Linked DNA regions of Cricetulus griseus. The protein of the gene in region 1 purifies or fractionates together with the protein of each later gene. This does not show direct contact. Links are inferred from orthologs where the notes say so. Each region holds a gene or a part of one and is shown on either strand. Other genes may lie near its edges.

The links.
Region 2: the proteins of Fndc3a (region 1) and Tent5c purify together in Homo sapiens (affinity purification with western blotting; 3 studies listed by BioGRID, with this or other methods). This does not show direct contact. The link is inferred for Cricetulus griseus from reciprocal best matches to the Homo sapiens genes FNDC3A and TENT5C.

Annotation. Positions count from the first base shown.
Region 1 is NW_023276807.1:227,223,951-227,232,620, reverse strand, and holds the start of Fndc3a (fibronectin type-III domain-containing protein 3A), read left to right. Parts: upstream 1-2,944; 5' UTR 2,945-3,072; intron 3,073-3,382; exon of another isoform or gene 3,383-3,400; intron 3,401-8,670. UniProt on the Homo sapiens protein: Mediates spermatid-Sertoli adhesion during spermatogenesis.
Region 2 is NW_023276806.1:56,479,840-56,488,314, forward strand, and holds the start of Tent5c (terminal nucleotidyltransferase 5C), read left to right. Parts: upstream 1-3,261; 5' UTR 3,262-3,516; intron 3,517-8,475. UniProt on the Homo sapiens protein: Catalyzes the transfer of one adenosine molecule from an ATP to an mRNA poly(A) tail bearing a 3'-OH terminal group and enhances mRNA stability and gene expression.

The DNA.
Region 1 (8,670 bases):
TATTCAAAATAATCTCACATGTGATATTCTTCAATGCCTTTTTCAGTGCCACTAACGATCTTTTGGGAATCTTCTCCTGGCATAGTTCTCTTTGGCTCCCCAACTCTTCCATCTACATTGTATGGCCTGACATTCATAACTGCATGGACTTTCTCCACTGCAGCGAACCTGACAAACTCAAAGCCCATGCCTGAAACACTTGGCATTTGGATCTCTCATAACCACACAGTTGGTTGACTCTCAGATTCCCGTAGGTTGTTTCTAAGCCCAGTCCTCCCATGGAGAGCTTCCTCAGCTTCCAAAATGGTTGCAGGCTCCTTAGGAGACTTTGACTTGGACCTGGCAGCAGGGAAATGAGAATCTGCACTGGTGCTTCCTTAGCAGCATCAACATGCAGAAAGCCCAAGCATTCTGAAACGATAGGGACAGTTCTTGCTAGACTAAAGGATGAAGACAAAATAGTGATGGAGGGGTGTTCGAGAAGAATGATAGTCAATCAAAACATCCCCATGAAGGAAACACCAATTATCAGGCAAAGGCACTGTGTGTTTACGTGTGTGTGTGTGTGTGTGTGTGTGTGTGTGTGTGTGTGTGTGTGTGTGTTGAGCACATGAGTGCAAGTTCCATTGGAGGCCAGAAGACGGTGTTGGAACTCCTGGAAGTGGAGTTATGTGTGTGGTTGTGAGCCACCCAATGTGGGTGCTGGGAACTGAATTCATGTCCTTGGCAAGAGCAGCACTTGCTCTTAAACACTGAGCCCACACATGTGTAATAGGCAGGGAGAAGAATGGAAATACCCAAAGGGACTGGAGAAACTGTGCCCAGAAAAATAGCAGGAAAATTAAGAAAATGGGTGCTAAATAAAGAAGAAAATTTCAAGGAAGAACAGTGTTCAAACTGTTTACTCTTGCTTGGAGCTCAAGAAGGATGACGGTTGAAATGGCATTTATTTTACTGATAAAGAAAATAAAGGCCTGTTCAAAGCCAGCATAGTTTCTTGTGCCTCTCTGACTATGGTGATTTATGTGTATGTTTCTTTCTCGCCACAGAATATAAATCCCCCAGTTTTTACCCAACTCCATCTCACAGCATTGTGTATCATATCAAAGTGTCTAGTTCTGCTTCAGTGATGTCTTGAATTACATGGCCCCATCTCCTTCAATGGAGCTATTATTTCTTGCTCTGCCTATGGTATGTACACGGACTTTACACATACTTCTCAAAATGCAGGTTTATTTTAAAAATCTATTGCTTTGTCTACCGCTGAATGAGGGAACCAGAATCTTGAAGGGGCAGATTGTAGGATTCTGCATTTTTACAGAGTTCACAAGCACAAAGCTTTGGAAAATACTAGCTTAGAGTTAAATTTGGAGACCACTAGTTTAGCCTCAAACCGAACAACAGTTGGGCTGCAGGATGGAGAAGCCACACAACTCCTCCACAGTCTGATATAAACTCTTATGTTGTCAAACAATGAGCAGTTATACTTCTGTTATTCCAAGATCAGCTTTCCAGCAATTTTGTCTGGAAGAGGGCCAAAGCTGGAAGTTAAGAAAATGAAACATTTCTCTTAGGGAAAGGACTTCTGGTCCTTCACTGAAGAGCAAAAAGAAAAAAAAAAAAAACTCATCTCAAAATAGCATTTGATAGTGTCACTGTCCTACTTACTAAGGGGAAGAAAAAGATCTTCTCATTAGCTGGCTGTGGATATAAACACCGATCAATTATTGCCTGCAGCCATGGAGAAAAGTAGGGAAAAAAAAAAAAAAAAAAAGAGGGCTTAAAAGACATCACCACCACCACCGGAAAATAGAAAGGGTTAAAGAGGATATAGAGGCAGATAAATCAAGGCTAAGTGAGGGGTCTTCGCCAAAAGTGAGGAGAACAGTGGGGGAAAAAAGCACCAAAAGTGGGGACTCTATACACTCTGCAATCCCTTGGGACTTTGGTGTAGGGTCTGAATAATTCCATTTGATAGTCAGTGATCCGCTAAGAATTTCCTTATCCATTGTTTTCTTTGAGAACGTAAGAAATACGTACATCTTCAAGAGATTTCTGTCATATGGTTTAAAAAAAAAAAAAAAAACAAGATTGCCATCTTAAAACGCAGCACAGTTAATAAACCGAAATACAAGTCAGACGTGGAGCCTGGTTTCGCCAGGCACCAGTTTTGGAAGGACAGGGTAGGACTCAGGTTCCCAAAGACGACCCTCTCCCCAAGGCTTCCGGTGAAACTGCAAAAGTAAGCAGTCCTGGCCAGCCCTCAGGTATTACCGCAGCGTGTCCCCCACTGCTTGAGGCTTAACGAAATTGCTGCCGCCTTCGCTTCGGTCCCCGCTGTTGTAGAAATCAAGGTAACGGGTTTCCACTCGATTTGGCTGGTCCGAGACCAAGAGATTAACCACTGCGTTTCGGAACGAAGTAAATCCGTTTTGTGGGTGCTATCAAATACCCGGGGCTCTAAACGTTTAGGAGTGGAGACGTCTGAGCGCAAAGCACCTGCCCGCGTTCTAAGTTCTGGGTTTTCGTAGAGGGGCTGACACGGTTCATCTCCGGGGGTGGAGGGTGGGGACGCTTTCTCAAATGCTTTTGGAATGGCGTGTGTGGCTCCGGATATGTCAATCATCAGCACAGTTCCCGGGGCACTGCCCGGCTTAGGGAGAGCGGCAGCGCCGCACCACTAGCCGCCCGCGAAGCCTGGACGCGGGGCCACGAGCACGCGCGGGGGCTCCGGGTCCCCGCGGCCGGGGGCGCCGTCGGCGGGGCTCGCGCAGCCGCACTGGGCGCGCCGACTCCGGGGCTCCTCCTCCTCCCGGCTCCGTAGTAATCATGGCGGCGGCGGCGTTCGCGGTCCCTCGGGTGAAACAGAAAGCGGGAGCTACGCGGAGAGGGAGCGAAGAGCGGGGCTGAGGCGGCGCCGTCACTGCCGGGAAACAACCCCCAACAGTGCGCGCAGCGGCGGCCACGGGAGCCGGGCCCACCGTCACGGTTGTGAGAGGAACGATCCGGAGCCCCGCAGAAGACACGCCAGGGGATCCGCCTTCCTCCGCCTCGGAGCGGCGGCACTCGGAGGTGAGAGCCGGCGGGGGACGTGGGAGCCCGCGTCGGGGAAACCGTTAGGCTGGGGCTGCGGGGTCGCGGCGCCCGAGGGCTGAGCCCGTCGAGGGGTGGGCGACGCCCCCTCCTCCCCCCCGCCCCGTGTGGGAGGGAGGGGGAGCGCTGTCCGTGGGGCGGCGGGTCCGGGACGCGGCGGCGACGTGCGCGGCACCTGCAGGGGCTCGGCGGCGACCGCGGAGCTCAGCCCGCTCACCTGGGGGTTAAATCCTCGAAAACACGCCCTTCGGGTCTGCGCCCCGGCGGCCGGCCGCGGCTGCCAGCACCCGGCGGTTCCCGTGCCCAGGTAAGTTAACCACCTGTTCGGTCGGGAGGAGGACGGGAGGCTGCGGTCCTCGCCAGGCTCCCCAGCCTGCGTGGGTGAACTTTTGACACGACTCTGCAAAGGGCGTCGTGCGCTTGGTGCAGGAAAGCGAGCAAATCATTTCGACGTCAGATCGCGAGCGCTGCTGTCTTGAAAAGAGTGCGATAGGTAATCGTATTATTTTTATTTTTAAATTAAACTACCACCTTTTATAGAAGCCGTGGAATTGTGGGGTGTGTGTGTGTGTGTGTGTGTGTGTGTGTGTGTGTGTGTGACGATTGCTGGGGATGGTGAGCTAGAGATTTTTTTTTTTTCTTGTGAGACTGTAAAGTCTTTCCTTTGGGCACCTTCTTGTCTGTCCATCTATTTCTGAGAAGGGTAGGCTGACAGGATTTTCCTCTTTTTATAGTTTAATCTTTATGTGTTCACGGTAGACTTTAAAAAAATTGAGCCATATATTGATTTTGCTGCTTCGGTATTGTGGTCTATCTTAGTTCTGAGAAGCCAAGTTTGTGCGTGTTTTTCTGTGTCATAAGAATCAAATCGTATTGCTTCTCTGCCTTTTGGAAAAGATCAGTTGTAAGAATGAAATAACAGTTGAAGCTATTCTATAATATTTTAATCACTGTGCTTTTACCAGCATTAGTGCTAAACATATGCCACTCAAGATTGTGCCATATGTCAGACAGAAACAAATTGAGATTTCTGGCTCAGAGCTCGTGTTTAGATAAATATTTAGTTTTTGTGTATTTGTGAAGTATGTAATTCTTGCCATCTTGTAAGTTTTGTTTAAGCCACCTAAAAATGTTGCAGAAGGATGAGTCCCCTGCCTTCTTAATATTTTCTTGTTTGAATTAATTTTCCCAACTAATGAGATAAATTACCCGTGGAGACAGATAGTGGGCCTAATAGAAAGCAATGCCAAGGATTTTTTAAAACATGGTTTTTCTAAAATATAAATATGAGAGTTTGTTTTTAGCATTTTAGCCCACTTGTAATTCCTGCTACCACTAATAACACCCTTTAAAGGGAAGGAGAGATGATGAGGTGATAGAGGGAAAATCTTGCTTATATTTAAGAATTTTAGCATTCTCATATTACATTTCTCTGTACTTTTCTTCCTTGTCTTCATAGATCATCTCTCAGTTTTCTCTGTAGATGAAGTGGAAAATTTTTATCTCAGGCTGGTTACCTTTACCCACCTGTATGCGCCTGCCTTAACTCCTTCCTTTCCCTCTGTGTGACTCCCTCATCACTGAGTGATCAGGAAAAAAAAAAAACTCTTGCTTAACACTGCCTCCAGTGTTAAGTTACAATTGTAAGGGGGATTTTCTTCTCCCAGATTAATGTTGAGCATTCAAGAAAACAGACTTTTGGTGTCACATGTCATTATTTCCTCTCTCTGTGTAATTGACAGTTGATTCTATTTTACTATGCATTTCATGATTCCTTTTTTACATACTGTATTTCTATAAATTTTATCTTATTATAAATCAGGCAAATTGCCTTCCATGTCTAGTGAGATGAAGGCTGAGAGATCCTATAAAACACAGGAGAAAAAAAAAAAGAGATAATGAACATTGTTTTTTAGTTTAGACTTATAGGTAATATTTCTGCTTGTTTTGAAAATATTTGTATTTTTGCTGTTTATATATTTAAGGGTCATTAATTTTGCATTTTGCCTGTAGTGTTAATGTAACCAAAATAATTTTTTTTAAAGCAAAACATTCTTGGAGCATTTCTTTTCATGAAAATAAGTTTTGATTATGTCTTAGAGCATGATACAAGGATGGGCATATGATTTCCAAATTTATTAGCCTGATGATGGTAAGTGATAGGTGGTTGTTTGTTGTTGTTAAATGTAATCTCTCGAACAAGGACTACTACTTAAGTTCTGAATGTTTTAAAACAGATTTAGAATTCTGTACATGTCTAGCCCATTGAATCCTGTGGTACTTTAATTGATCACTTTGGTACAACGAATGTGTATCAATGTCAGAGCTCATTATCACAAAGAAATTGATTACCAATATTGTTAAGGGCACATTTTTGTTCTTTTACATGTTTTGTACGTGTTTATCCTTTTTAATACTTTAGTCTTTTTTTCAGAGTATTATTCAGTGAATTCTTTTTATGTCACAATCTTTAACCTTTTCTCCTACTGTTTGGGTTTTGTCTGTCTTTAATGTATACTAAGTTTGTTGTGCAGCCTCTGGGCTTCCATTAAGTTCTCTGGGTTTTATTTCTGATGTTCCCTATCCTCTGTTAACCATTTCCAGGACTTAGGCTACTTTTCTGCACAAGATAGCTGCTACAAGATAGTATATTTTCGGAGGAGATTGCAAGGACTCAAAGGGTGATGAGCTATTATCAAAGTAAGGGATACAAAAGCAGCTGGATATGCTCCTTCAAGCCATTTACAATTATTTGAGAATTGTACACTAACAAAGGAGACCATTAGCAAAAACTATAACACAATATTGTTAAAGGTGTGGCACCCACTGTGACCAAAGCTCTGTGAGGGAGGGCTAGAACCGTCTTGGCATTTGGAGGAAGTCCAACTTGAAATTTAGGAAGTGTTTATGTATCAAAGGAAAGCTCTAAAAGAGAGCGACAGGCAGAGTTGGAGCTAGCAGCCGGAGAGACCTTTTGGGAGCATCCAAGGACAGGCATTAGGAAAAAGAGAATGAGGTAAAGACTAGAGCTAGGCCTCACTAGGTATGAAGAGTAGAAAGCCCTGGAGAAGAAAGTCCTGCTCATCAGTAGGAACCTATCTTTGAAAGAAATAAAGAACCACACATCATTTTTTTTTTTATAGCATACCAAAGAATAGATTTCAATATGACATTCTCATCCTCATGTATCACTGTACTGGGCTCATTCTCTTCTCCATTACCATGTTTGGACCCTCTTTCCTGCTTCTTTCAGGCCCCCATTTCTCCCCAAAATGCCTCTTCTGCTTTCATTTCCAGAGAGTGTGCTCGAGTGCGTGTGTGCGTGCATGCATGTGCGCACGCGCACGCACGCGCCAGTGTGTCTGTGTCTATGAGAGAAAAGTGTGCCTCCTTATTACCTTCTCTTGTTCCCACCTCCCTCTCCCTTAATACCGCCATAGTCGCACTTCCTCTTTATGCCTTACCTAGACAGACAAAAATATGTAAAAATTAGGTATACGAGAGAAAATATGGTGTTTATCTTTCTTCCTCTGTTTTGTTTCACTTAGCATTTTGGTCTCTAGCTTCAAATTTCTTAGTAGGTAGATTGTGTTGTGTGTTTATTTAACTTAGATAAGGGTAGACAGCTATTTTATGTAGTGCTTGATAATATTGTCTTGCAAGCTATTTGTAGTCTCTGATGAATATTATTGCTTGTTTGCTTGCTTAAAAGAATCTTTTTAAAATGTAAAAACCATGTTAGCCATCTGGCCTAGTTCACTGAGTCTTGGTAGCTGACTGTCCATATAGCACATATTGTGAAGTATTTTCCCAATGGTTGTTTGAAGTGGTATACATATCTTTTCTTGTGGTATATAAAAATAAGGAAAATATGCCAGACTAACTACTACTATACTTATCACTTTGTGCCTAAAGTTCTGGGAAGAGCTTAGTCTAGGTCTCCAAAACAGGAAGTAAGAGAAGTCTTTGAGCTGGGCCTTATGGCAGTGAAGCAGCTACACAGTGACTGGCTTTAGAATTTGTGAGGTTAAGTGGATCAACTCTGTGCTGGGTTTATAGTTCTAAAAAATACAACTGGCATTTAGAAACCTTGGTTAGGGTCTTGGTGGTTTGTAAGTGATGACAGGGGAGCAATAACTTGTCTTTTAAAGGTGGCCCAAGGTGAGTTCTAAACATTTAGAAATCCTACAGGAACTCTAAGAAGAGTCACTGTTATGGAATAATTAGTAATAGATGGATAACCTAGAGTCATCTAGAAAAATGTTATACCATGTAGATTAAAGGAGAGAAGAAAGACCCAGAAATCTCTAAAAAAAATTCCTATTAACGTGATTTTAAAGCTGGGTGTGGTGGCACACACCTTTAATCCCAGCACTCAGGAGGCAGAGGCAGGCGGATCTCTGTGAGTTGAGGCTAGCCTGGTCTACGGAGTGAGTTCCAGGACAGCCAGGGCTACACCTACACAGCAAAACCCTGTCTCCAAAAAAAAAAAAAAAAAAAAAAAAAAAAAAAGATTTTTAAGGTTATTAAGCTAATTTCAAAGGATAAATACTGGTTGTTTTAAAACTTCAATTATATTATTAAACATTCCTTTGAAATTTCTAAATTCATAACATGTATGTCTAAGACAGCACTATTTCTATTTTCCCACTGTGCTTCTTGTATTATCACCAGATGACCTGTAGTGCCTGAGGTTAGCTTTATGGATCAGTTGGTGAGGGCTACTACATAGTTTGTGATATCAAGAGATTAAAATATAGCATAAGAACATTTTTTTCCCACTTTGCAGGCATTTAGGCTTTGTATGTGGTCAGTGTTAGGTGTTAGAAAGAGTAAATGGGACACTGCCTGGACAGAATCAGTACTGTCTCTCCCCTTTATTTTACTGTTAAAAACCATTAAAACCAAACCTAAAATTAATCTTTTATGCTTTTATGTCTATAATTTGCCTTCCTTTATAAATATTTTTACTATCTTAAGCTTAAAGACAGTATATGCCTCTTGAACTAGGTTTTGGCCTTTCTGGATTACTACCTTGTACAATTTTGACTTACCATTTTGCTTTAAGAAGAAACTAACAGCTAGGCATGGTGGCACATGCCTTTAAGCATTCCGAAGGCAGAGGCAGGAGGACCTCTGAGTTAGAAGTCAGCCTGATCTGCATTGTGAGTTCCAGGGCAGGCCAGCCAGGGCTTCACTGTTGAGACCCTCTTTTGGAAAAAGAAGGGGGGAGGAGTAATTAATAACTGACCACTGCTTTACTGTCCCCTCCCTGCCTGGCTTCCTTGCCCAAGGAGATGCAGTGCCTTGGGTGGTGCAGATGGTGCAAATCTTCGTTCCATGTTCACTACTCACTAGTGATAGTGATTTCATGGTTTTCTTTTCCAGTCTTGGTTTTCTGATCCTTCAAATTGAGAGTATCGGCCTTGTTTTGACCACACATACTGTAAGGGCTCAATGAGGTGGGTAAAACTTGAAAATGTTAAGGTCCCGTGTATGTGCTTACATCAGTGCTTGTACATACCAGAAGCTGCTGAACAGCTTGTTTTTTCTAATATGACCAGAACTTTTGAGTTC
Region 2 (8,475 bases), on another chromosome or scaffold:
GGGTGCCACAGTTTTATGAGGTAGAAAGAACACCGTGTATTAAAAAAATAAAACTGAAACAAAAATCTTTTAAAAGTTTAGAAAGTCTCCAGGAATTTTAAAAATTGAGGGGGAAATGCACACGTGTGAAGTTTCTTTTCCAGATCCTGGTTCTCCCATCTCCCCATCATAGGATTACCTAAGTTGATCAGGAAGTTAACAAAATGTCACCTAAGCGGAAAGCCAGATCAAACTTTAGGTTCCGAAGTCTACTTGTAGTAAAAAAAAAAAAAAAAAGCAGAAGGGACTAAAAGGGAAGAAAAGGGGCCAGCTGGAGGGGGGCCTGGTGGAGCCCTGAGAGGGTATCGAACAAAATGTATGACAAACATGCGTGTATGAAATGTCATGGTGAAAACCACTAATTTATATGCTAACTAAAACATAATAGTGTATCAAAACCTACCTTTGATGCCAGTATCTGTGTCAAAAGCCAAGGTAATAATTTGCTTAAGTGTTATTGAGATTGGAACTTTGTAGAAGGTCAGTTATTTGCTCAAGGCTTGAAACTTAATTCTCAGAAGAAGACAAAAGCAATTATCTTTGTGGCTTTGGGATAGGTGGAGAGTCCTTACACAGGACACAAAACACTAGGCCTTAAAAATAAGCAAAGATTGATAAATTGGGCTGATTAAAAATTAAGAAATTATTTTAATCAGAAAGTAACATTAAACTGTAAGTCAGCCACAGGTTGAGAGAAAGTATTTGAAACAAAGGACTTATATCAAGAATATGTAAAGAACTTGTAGAGTTCAAACTGGCAAACGACATGAATAGATACATCCCTTAAAGACCATCATAATGGATGGTAAACATCTGAAAAGTTGCTCAATCGAATTGATCACCAGAGAAACAATGTTTAATTACAATGAAATGCACATCCCTGTTTTTAATTTAAAGAGGAAACACTTGGGCCCGGGAGATGGCTCAGCGAGCAAAGCTGCTTGTGGCCAAGCCCGATGAGGACCTGAATCCAACCCCCAGATCCTACACCTTGGGAGGAGAGAACCCACTCCCAAGTGCTGTCCTATGACCTCCACATACCCACTGTGGTATGCACACCACCCTCCAACAAGAAAATATAGTTAAAACATTTTAAACACCTTGATACCAAAAGTGGTAAATATGTGTTATCATCACCAGGAATCTTACAGTACTGGTTGAACATAAACAGTTTATCCCTTTTGTTTTAAAAAATGTATCTATTTTTTTGTTTTATGGTTTAAGTTTTTATTTTTTCCTTGGTTATTTTTCATACTCAGATCACTGGCAATATATTTAAAGCTTAACATGTGTATACTCTGTAAACCAGAAGTTCCAATCCCTAGCATGTGTGTGACATGAATGATGCTTCTACACATAGAAGACTATTTTCAGCAAATTCACTATGGACTGTCCAAAAACCTGAAGCAACTGAAATGGCTACCAAACAGTAAATTGAGAACATAAACTGTTGGTTATTGAACGAATATGCAGTAGTGAAGAATGAGTCACTGTTACATACAACAGAGAAATCTTACAGACAGAAAAATTCTCACTCTCTATTTCAAGTTCATGTCAAGTTCAAATACCAGTGCAACTGAACCCTATGAGATAGTGAGTGGCAGGAGCCATGGCTAAGCTGGACTATTGTGGGTGACAGCCCTGTGGGTACTCACACCCATCATTCAGCACACAATAATAGACACTGTGAGACCATTCAGTGCTCACACCATCAACAACAAAACTGACCACCTACCCCTGAATTTGTGTTCAAGAACAGGGACACCCAATCTCTGTAAGTTCTCATACTGATGTCTTATACTGTTACAATTTCCCCTCCCCCCACCAGAGAAAGCCTGTACTTGAGAACTCTTCGCAGCCTAGCAGACACTGCAGGGCACTCATGCTAGGCAGGGGTGGTAGGAGAGCAGAGAACACTGATTCAGGAAGTCATCTTGCACCCCAGGTACCCAGGAGAGAGTCAAAGGAAGCTCAACAAGTGTTTATTAATGACTGCTTTCTGACTTACACAGCACCTGGCATGCACTTTATTTCAAGCAGTGCATGATTAATAACTATTTTCCTAATTTTGTTGTTGTTGTCGTTTTGTTTTCGAGATAGAGTTTCTCTGTATAACAGCCCTGGCTGTCCTGGAACTCACTCTGTAGACCAGGCTGGCCTCGAACTCGCAGAGATCTGCTTGTCTCTGCCTCCTGAGTGCGGGGGGATAAAGGTGTGCACCACCACCACCACCACCACCACCACCAGGCCTATTTTCCTAATATTGGTCTCAGTTATCCCATCCTTACTCCTATCCTGCAGATGGGAAGTAGAGGTTCATGGAGGATAGGTTAAGCCAGTCAGGAAGGCTGGGCCTGGTAGGCCACTCCTGTAATCCCAGTCGTGGGAGGTGCACACTGGAGGATCAGTTAAAGGTCAGCCAAGGCTACTTAGAGGCCTGTCTGGGTTCAGGAGACATTGTCTCAAAAACCCAAACCCCAAATAAAACAAAAACAGCTCCTCTCAAGGCCCTCCAGATATATAGTGGTGAAGGAGATTCCCACTCATTAGCCTGAATTCTGAAGCAGAGCGAGCCATCAACCAACCACGTGTAGGGGTGTTAAGGGCAGTGTCCGGGGTCCCCCGCCCGGCGGGTATTAACAGGTCACAAAGCCCTTTGCCGTTCGTTCTGAGGGCCTAGATGCTGTGCTTTAGGCTTTTGTGATGGGTTCCGGGGCCACTAACTAACTGCACACAGGTGGTCCCGCGGCCAGAAAATCAGCTGCTTCCTTTCCTCCAGGACCACGATCTCACCTCCAGCCAATTTGCTCGAGGAATAAGATTTCCAGGACCCACCTAAAAGTTTTCTGATTTCACAAACACCCCGCGAGACAGGCGTGGGCTTCCACTCCCGGCTCCCGGAATCAGGGAGCCACTGGTGCCAAGAGCGCCCAAAATTCAGAAAGAAAACGCAACCCACAGGGAGCAAGAATGGTGGAGGTGAGAACTCTCGGGGCAAGGGAAGGCAAAGACCAGGAGCCGCAGAGAAGGAGGCGAGCGGACAGAGCGAAAGTGTCCCCTCAACTCCTAAATTGGTGGCGACACAGCCCCCTCTCTATTGCGCCTGCGCAACGCTGCCTCCGGGCTACCCCGCCCCTTCGCGCCTCCGGAGGTTTACTTGTCTCTCGGCAACCATTGACCCGCAGAGCCAATCAGAGGGCGGCATTCGCCCGGGCCCCCGCCGTTAGCGCCGGGCGCAAGGATCCCGCGGGGCCGCGGCCGGCGCGCCCCGCCCTGGCTCCCCCGGGAGGCCGGCCGCGGGCGGGGGCAGGGGCGGGGAGGCGCGGGGGAGTGGTCAGGCCGGTTAAGATCGGAGGGGGCGGCGGCGGGACCGCTCACTCGCGGCAGCTGCCTGGGGGCCATAGTCACCGCGCCGCTCCTGCTCGGGGCTGCCCACGCCAACCACCTGCCTCTGTCGCCTCCTCTTCCAGCGTCCAGGTGAGTCTGCGCTCCTCTTCCTCCGCAGGTGTGAGGATGCTGCTGCGGTCCAGCGGGGAGCCACGCTCTCACGCTCCCGGGTTCGTCCCAGCAGAGCCTGGTGGGATTCCCCGGAGATGGAGGGGAGACACCGGCAGGTGTCAGGACCCGCACGGCTCCTGCGCCCCTGGCTCAGGCTACCTCCGTGAGAGAGCGCAAACTTTTCAGAGACTATGACCGGGGTCTGGCAAACTTGGGCGAGCTCCTGCTGGCCCGGCAACAGGAGAGTGGGTGGCGATCACTTCTTGCTCTTTCATTGACCCTGCCAGTAGGTCCGTCGGCTCTGCGCTGCGCCCCTGTGGTGCGCACACTGCAGCCAGAACCGGGGCGGTTTTGAACCCCGCGGTTTCGGCGGCTTAGATGGAGACGCTGCGGTCCGGGGTTAGAGCCTGGCAGGCGAGGGGAGGGCAGCTTCCTGGGCTCAGTGCCCAGGATGGCGGCAGAGATCATTCTCTCTTCTGGGACTGTGGACATTGCGCGCGGCCAAGAAGCTGCGCGTCTCTCGGAAACTTCTCGAGAATACGGCGACTGAGAAACCTGGTTCCTCCCCTTGGGGATCGAAAGTTGCCTACCGCGTGTGCTGAAAGTCGTGCAGAGTTAGTTGACTCTGATAGCGGTGCTGTTGGTGACTTAGAGGCGCGGCTGCCCGTTGCGGTGTGGGTACCCTTTACCGCCGTTCGCGAAGAGGGTGGGTGGGACATCTGAGGAAGTTGAGGAACCTGCAGTGCCAGCTGGTAGCCCTTACACCTAAGTTCTGATACTCAGTGAGCGGGCGGGCGGGCGACCTCAAAGTCAAGGGGGGGGGGCGCTGGTGAGGAAATGCCTATTTGGTTTTTCCAGAATATAGAATTTCCACCTGAGCCGATTGTCAGATCTGGGTAGTCTCAGCCCCTTTTCTCCCCTCTCCCCCTTTAAATGTGTAGAAACCCTTCTGCAGGGCCGTGACTAATTCCTGGTCTGAAATCCTTTTTGCCCCTCGATTTGAGGATAAAGTGCTGACAACGAAAGACTTAATAGACTTAACAGATTTGCAAAGAACAGCTATATATGTAACCGTTTGAATTGTGACGAGTTTGGTTCTGGAAGTAAAAGTCAAGATGGTTAGCTCCTCCTTCCAGCTGCCCCCTGGAAGGAGGGTGAGGGTGGCCATTGCTGGCTACAACTTCCAGTGTAGTTTGCTTGGCAAGGCAGTGAGTGAGCCAGAAAGCTTGCCAGGCAGCCGAGAGGGTGGAAGGAAAGCTTACCAAGAATTCTACCGTGCTGGAAGTCTCCAGAGGTGTGATTCCCCGCCCCCCCCCCACGCCCCACATTTTACCCTGCAGTTGAAGGGTGTGGGGTGGGGACTAAAGAAGGTTGAATTTCTTCTCCCTGCGGCCAGCTGGACCAACTGTGGTTCTGTCTTTTGCCATTCTTGTTTGTGAAGATCAAGTTCTTCGTAACTCTGAGCAGGTAGCTGAAGGGACACCTTGGTTTTGGAGTACCCAGATGTGAATTAGGAGCTTTTTGAAGATTCTGATGTGTAGAAGATTTTGATGTTTGTAATAATTGTTCCAGTATCTACACAGAATGTCCCTTACTGTCATTAAAATTATGGAGGTGGGGTGCTCAGCTATCTCTAGACTGTTACCAAAAGAGAGGTCCCTACTTTTGTAAGTAACTTTAGTGTGTGCACCTAGAGCAAATAGTCACACTCTTTAGGGTGAGTTTCTCCCATAATACCTGCCTTGTATCTGGAGATCAGTTTGTGAACTCTAGAGGGAAGGGTTTGGCTCTTGGCCTGTTGGTCAGAGAGTGTGTGGAGTGCTAAGGGCTCACTCTTCAGCTCCACTGCCAGTATCATTACCAAGCTTTCAGCCTGACTTGCAGCCTCCTGCATTCCCTATCCGTCTCCCAGTCAAGCACACACTTAGTCTGCATCCTCCAGTGTTCAAGACCAGGCAGATTATATGTGCCGTGCACTGCCCACCAGACAGTTCAGCCACAGCTCAGCCATGAAGGTGATTTAAAAGTGGGCTGTTGTGTGGTTAGTGAGGCTCAGCTGTTACAGAATCAGAAAACTGCATTGAATGTTTCCTTCCTTTCTTCCTTCCTTCCTTCCAGCTCCATCCACTAAGTAGTACCTTTTTCTTCATCTTTCTTCTTTGCTATGCCATCCTAGAGTCAGCCAATGAAGAAGGGCAACCGGGTTAGATCGTTGTTGCCTATATTACTGAGAAAAGCTATATAAGCCTGAGGTATGGTGGCGTTTGGGAGTTTATCTCCTTCCTGTCCCTGAAACACACAACTCTCTCTCTCTCTCTCTCTCTCTCTCTCTCTCTCTCTCTCTCTCTGTGTGTGTGTGTGTGTGTGTGTGGTGTGTGTTTGTGTGTGCTGTGTGTGTTTGTGTGTGCTGTGTGTGTGTATGTGTTTAGTCTGAGGCGTTTCCTGGACTAAGACTGGTCTGTTGCTCTCTCTCATTATTGAAGAAACGGGGAAATGTGGAAAGCTGCCCTCCACCATCTTGGTGTTTTGACTGTAGCTAATGAGGTTGTATTATGATGACGCCAACTCCTCCATATTTAAAGAAGTGCCCATGAGTTTAAAGCTACTTGAGACAACAGTAAAGCCGACCTCTTAATCTCTTGGACCATAGGTTTCTCCCACTTTTTAACCTTTTGATGGGATGCATTCCTTGTAAGGAAGCTTTTATTTAGAATTGAAATGGTCATAGAAAGTAGCATCTTTACATAACCCAACTGCATAAGGGGACCTTGTGAACTGTTTCAAATTAGTATTCTGTACAGCTGGCCCTTGTAGCTTGCTCTTGAAGTGTTTGCAGAACTTTTTGGAACAACAGAAAAAAAAACTTAATATGAAGAAATAATTACTGACATGAAGCAGATCTGTGTGCAAGGAAGCTTTATGGTTTCAGAGCATTTTCCACTGTGGGTCATTCAGCTGCAAGGAGGTGCTTATTTCTTGGATAAGGGCAGGCAGGCAGGCAGGCAGGCGGGCGGGCGGTTGGGTCAGAAAGTACTTCCTAGGTGGTATTTGGTGCCAGGTGCTTGGGAGGCTTAGGGAGTGGTATGTGAAAAGCCTGTGGAAGAGCTTTGGAGGTGAGAGCGGCTAGGCTGCCTTTATGATGCTCTTGAAGAACTTGTTTTTCTCTCAGTTGTCTCGCCCCCCTCCTCACACATGGACCCCAGAAAAGTAGGATTTCTGGTCACTCTATAGAGTCCTGATCCCTGCCTAGAGAGAGTGCATGCATGGCCTTGCATGCAGACATATTCCTCTAAAGAGAATGCACCTTCTACTGAAGGCTGCCTGTTGCTCCTCCCAGACAGAGTAGGAAGCTCGATTGGATTGAGTGTTCTGCTGGGTCAAGTCCTGGAGGATGGAGCTTCTTGCATCAGAGGCTCCTGGTCATCTTTTCAGGGAAGCCTCAGCAGTGTAGGTTTGGAGCTGAGGAGCAGTGAGTGCAAATAGATTAGCAGCTGAAACTCCTAAGCCTGGCCAGCCTCTAGCCCCACCCCCCAGCTCTCCACCCTCCCTCCTGTCCTCCCAGCCCCAGCTAGCTCACTCAGCCTTTCTCTCTCCGTGTTCACTCAGCTGCTGGCTCTGCTGACTCGTTCTTTTTTTATTTTTTATTTTTTTTGTTTCTCACTGTCATCACTGACCTGGTTTAGGGGACTGTAGACAGGAGCTGGATGAGAGTAGCAGCAGCCTCCCTGTCTCTGGCCAGAGAGATCAGTCCTCTGCCTGGAGCACTAGAGTAAGTTCCCAGGATCTGCCCATCCCTGAGATCTCCCTGTATTCCTCTAAGATGCTATTTCCTGATGCTTTCCTGGCTGCTCCATGGCAGGTGGTCCCTAACTGTCCTACCCTGCCTTGCAAAATACAGACTTTGATATTTGGGGGAGGAGGGATTGAGCACAACCCCTTCCCCCAAATGAACTTTATTTTAATATGTCTTTGGGACGTCTGTTCAGGCTCTGACAGATCTTCTCTCATCCGAGAGCCATATTTTCCCACATCTTTCTGCTCCAGTATTTTACAGTTTTCTTTTGCATATTTTCTTGTTTCTAAAAAAATAATATGGAACTAAAAGGCTTTTTTTTTTAAAGAAGCCCCCTGTTGTCTCCATATCTGGTCTCTATTTAAAAAAAAAAAGTGAAGAAAATTATTCAGGGATCATGAATCATCATCTCCTTATCCCATTCAATCCCCCTTCCCTTCTCTCCACACTTGGCCTTACAGAATGAGGCCAGCCCGGCCTGGCTGCATGCCCCTGCCTCTCCATGCACTGTGGTGTCCTTGTCCCTGCTTGTCATAGAGTTGGGCATCAGGACTCTAGCTGCCTGAGGCTATAGTGCTGTGGTGTGGAATATGGGGATATAGACGAAAGAGTGGGTTCAAGACACAGGGGTGTTTGCTCTGGATTGGTCATCTGGCATTCAACACCATTGCTGCTACATCTCATTCCTGACTGCTGTAGACTTTACACTTACTTCCTTGCCTTGTAGGCTGCCTTTCATTGGGACACTGATCCTGGCAGACCCTTTACTACTTCAGGCTTTCATTTCTGTATTGTCATCCACAGCAGACAGAATCATTGGTGTCCCATAGACATATGGGAACAGAAGCCTGGTAAATTTCATTTAAACCATAAATCTATTTATCTATTTAACTTAGTATGTCAAGTAATCAGTGCAAAATCCCATAACAGAGATATTTTATATCCCTCCTTAATATCAAGTCCCTGAAGTCTATTTTGCATTCTGTATACACTGTGCACTCTGTTTGGACATTCTACCTTTCAAGTGCTCAAGAGCTACATGGCTTGCAGCTACTGTATTGGGTAGTGCAGGTCTAGACCATGTGCAAAAATGTTTGACTCTCAAATCCTGATTCTCTGTGTGTGTGAGAAGCAGTAGTGAACCA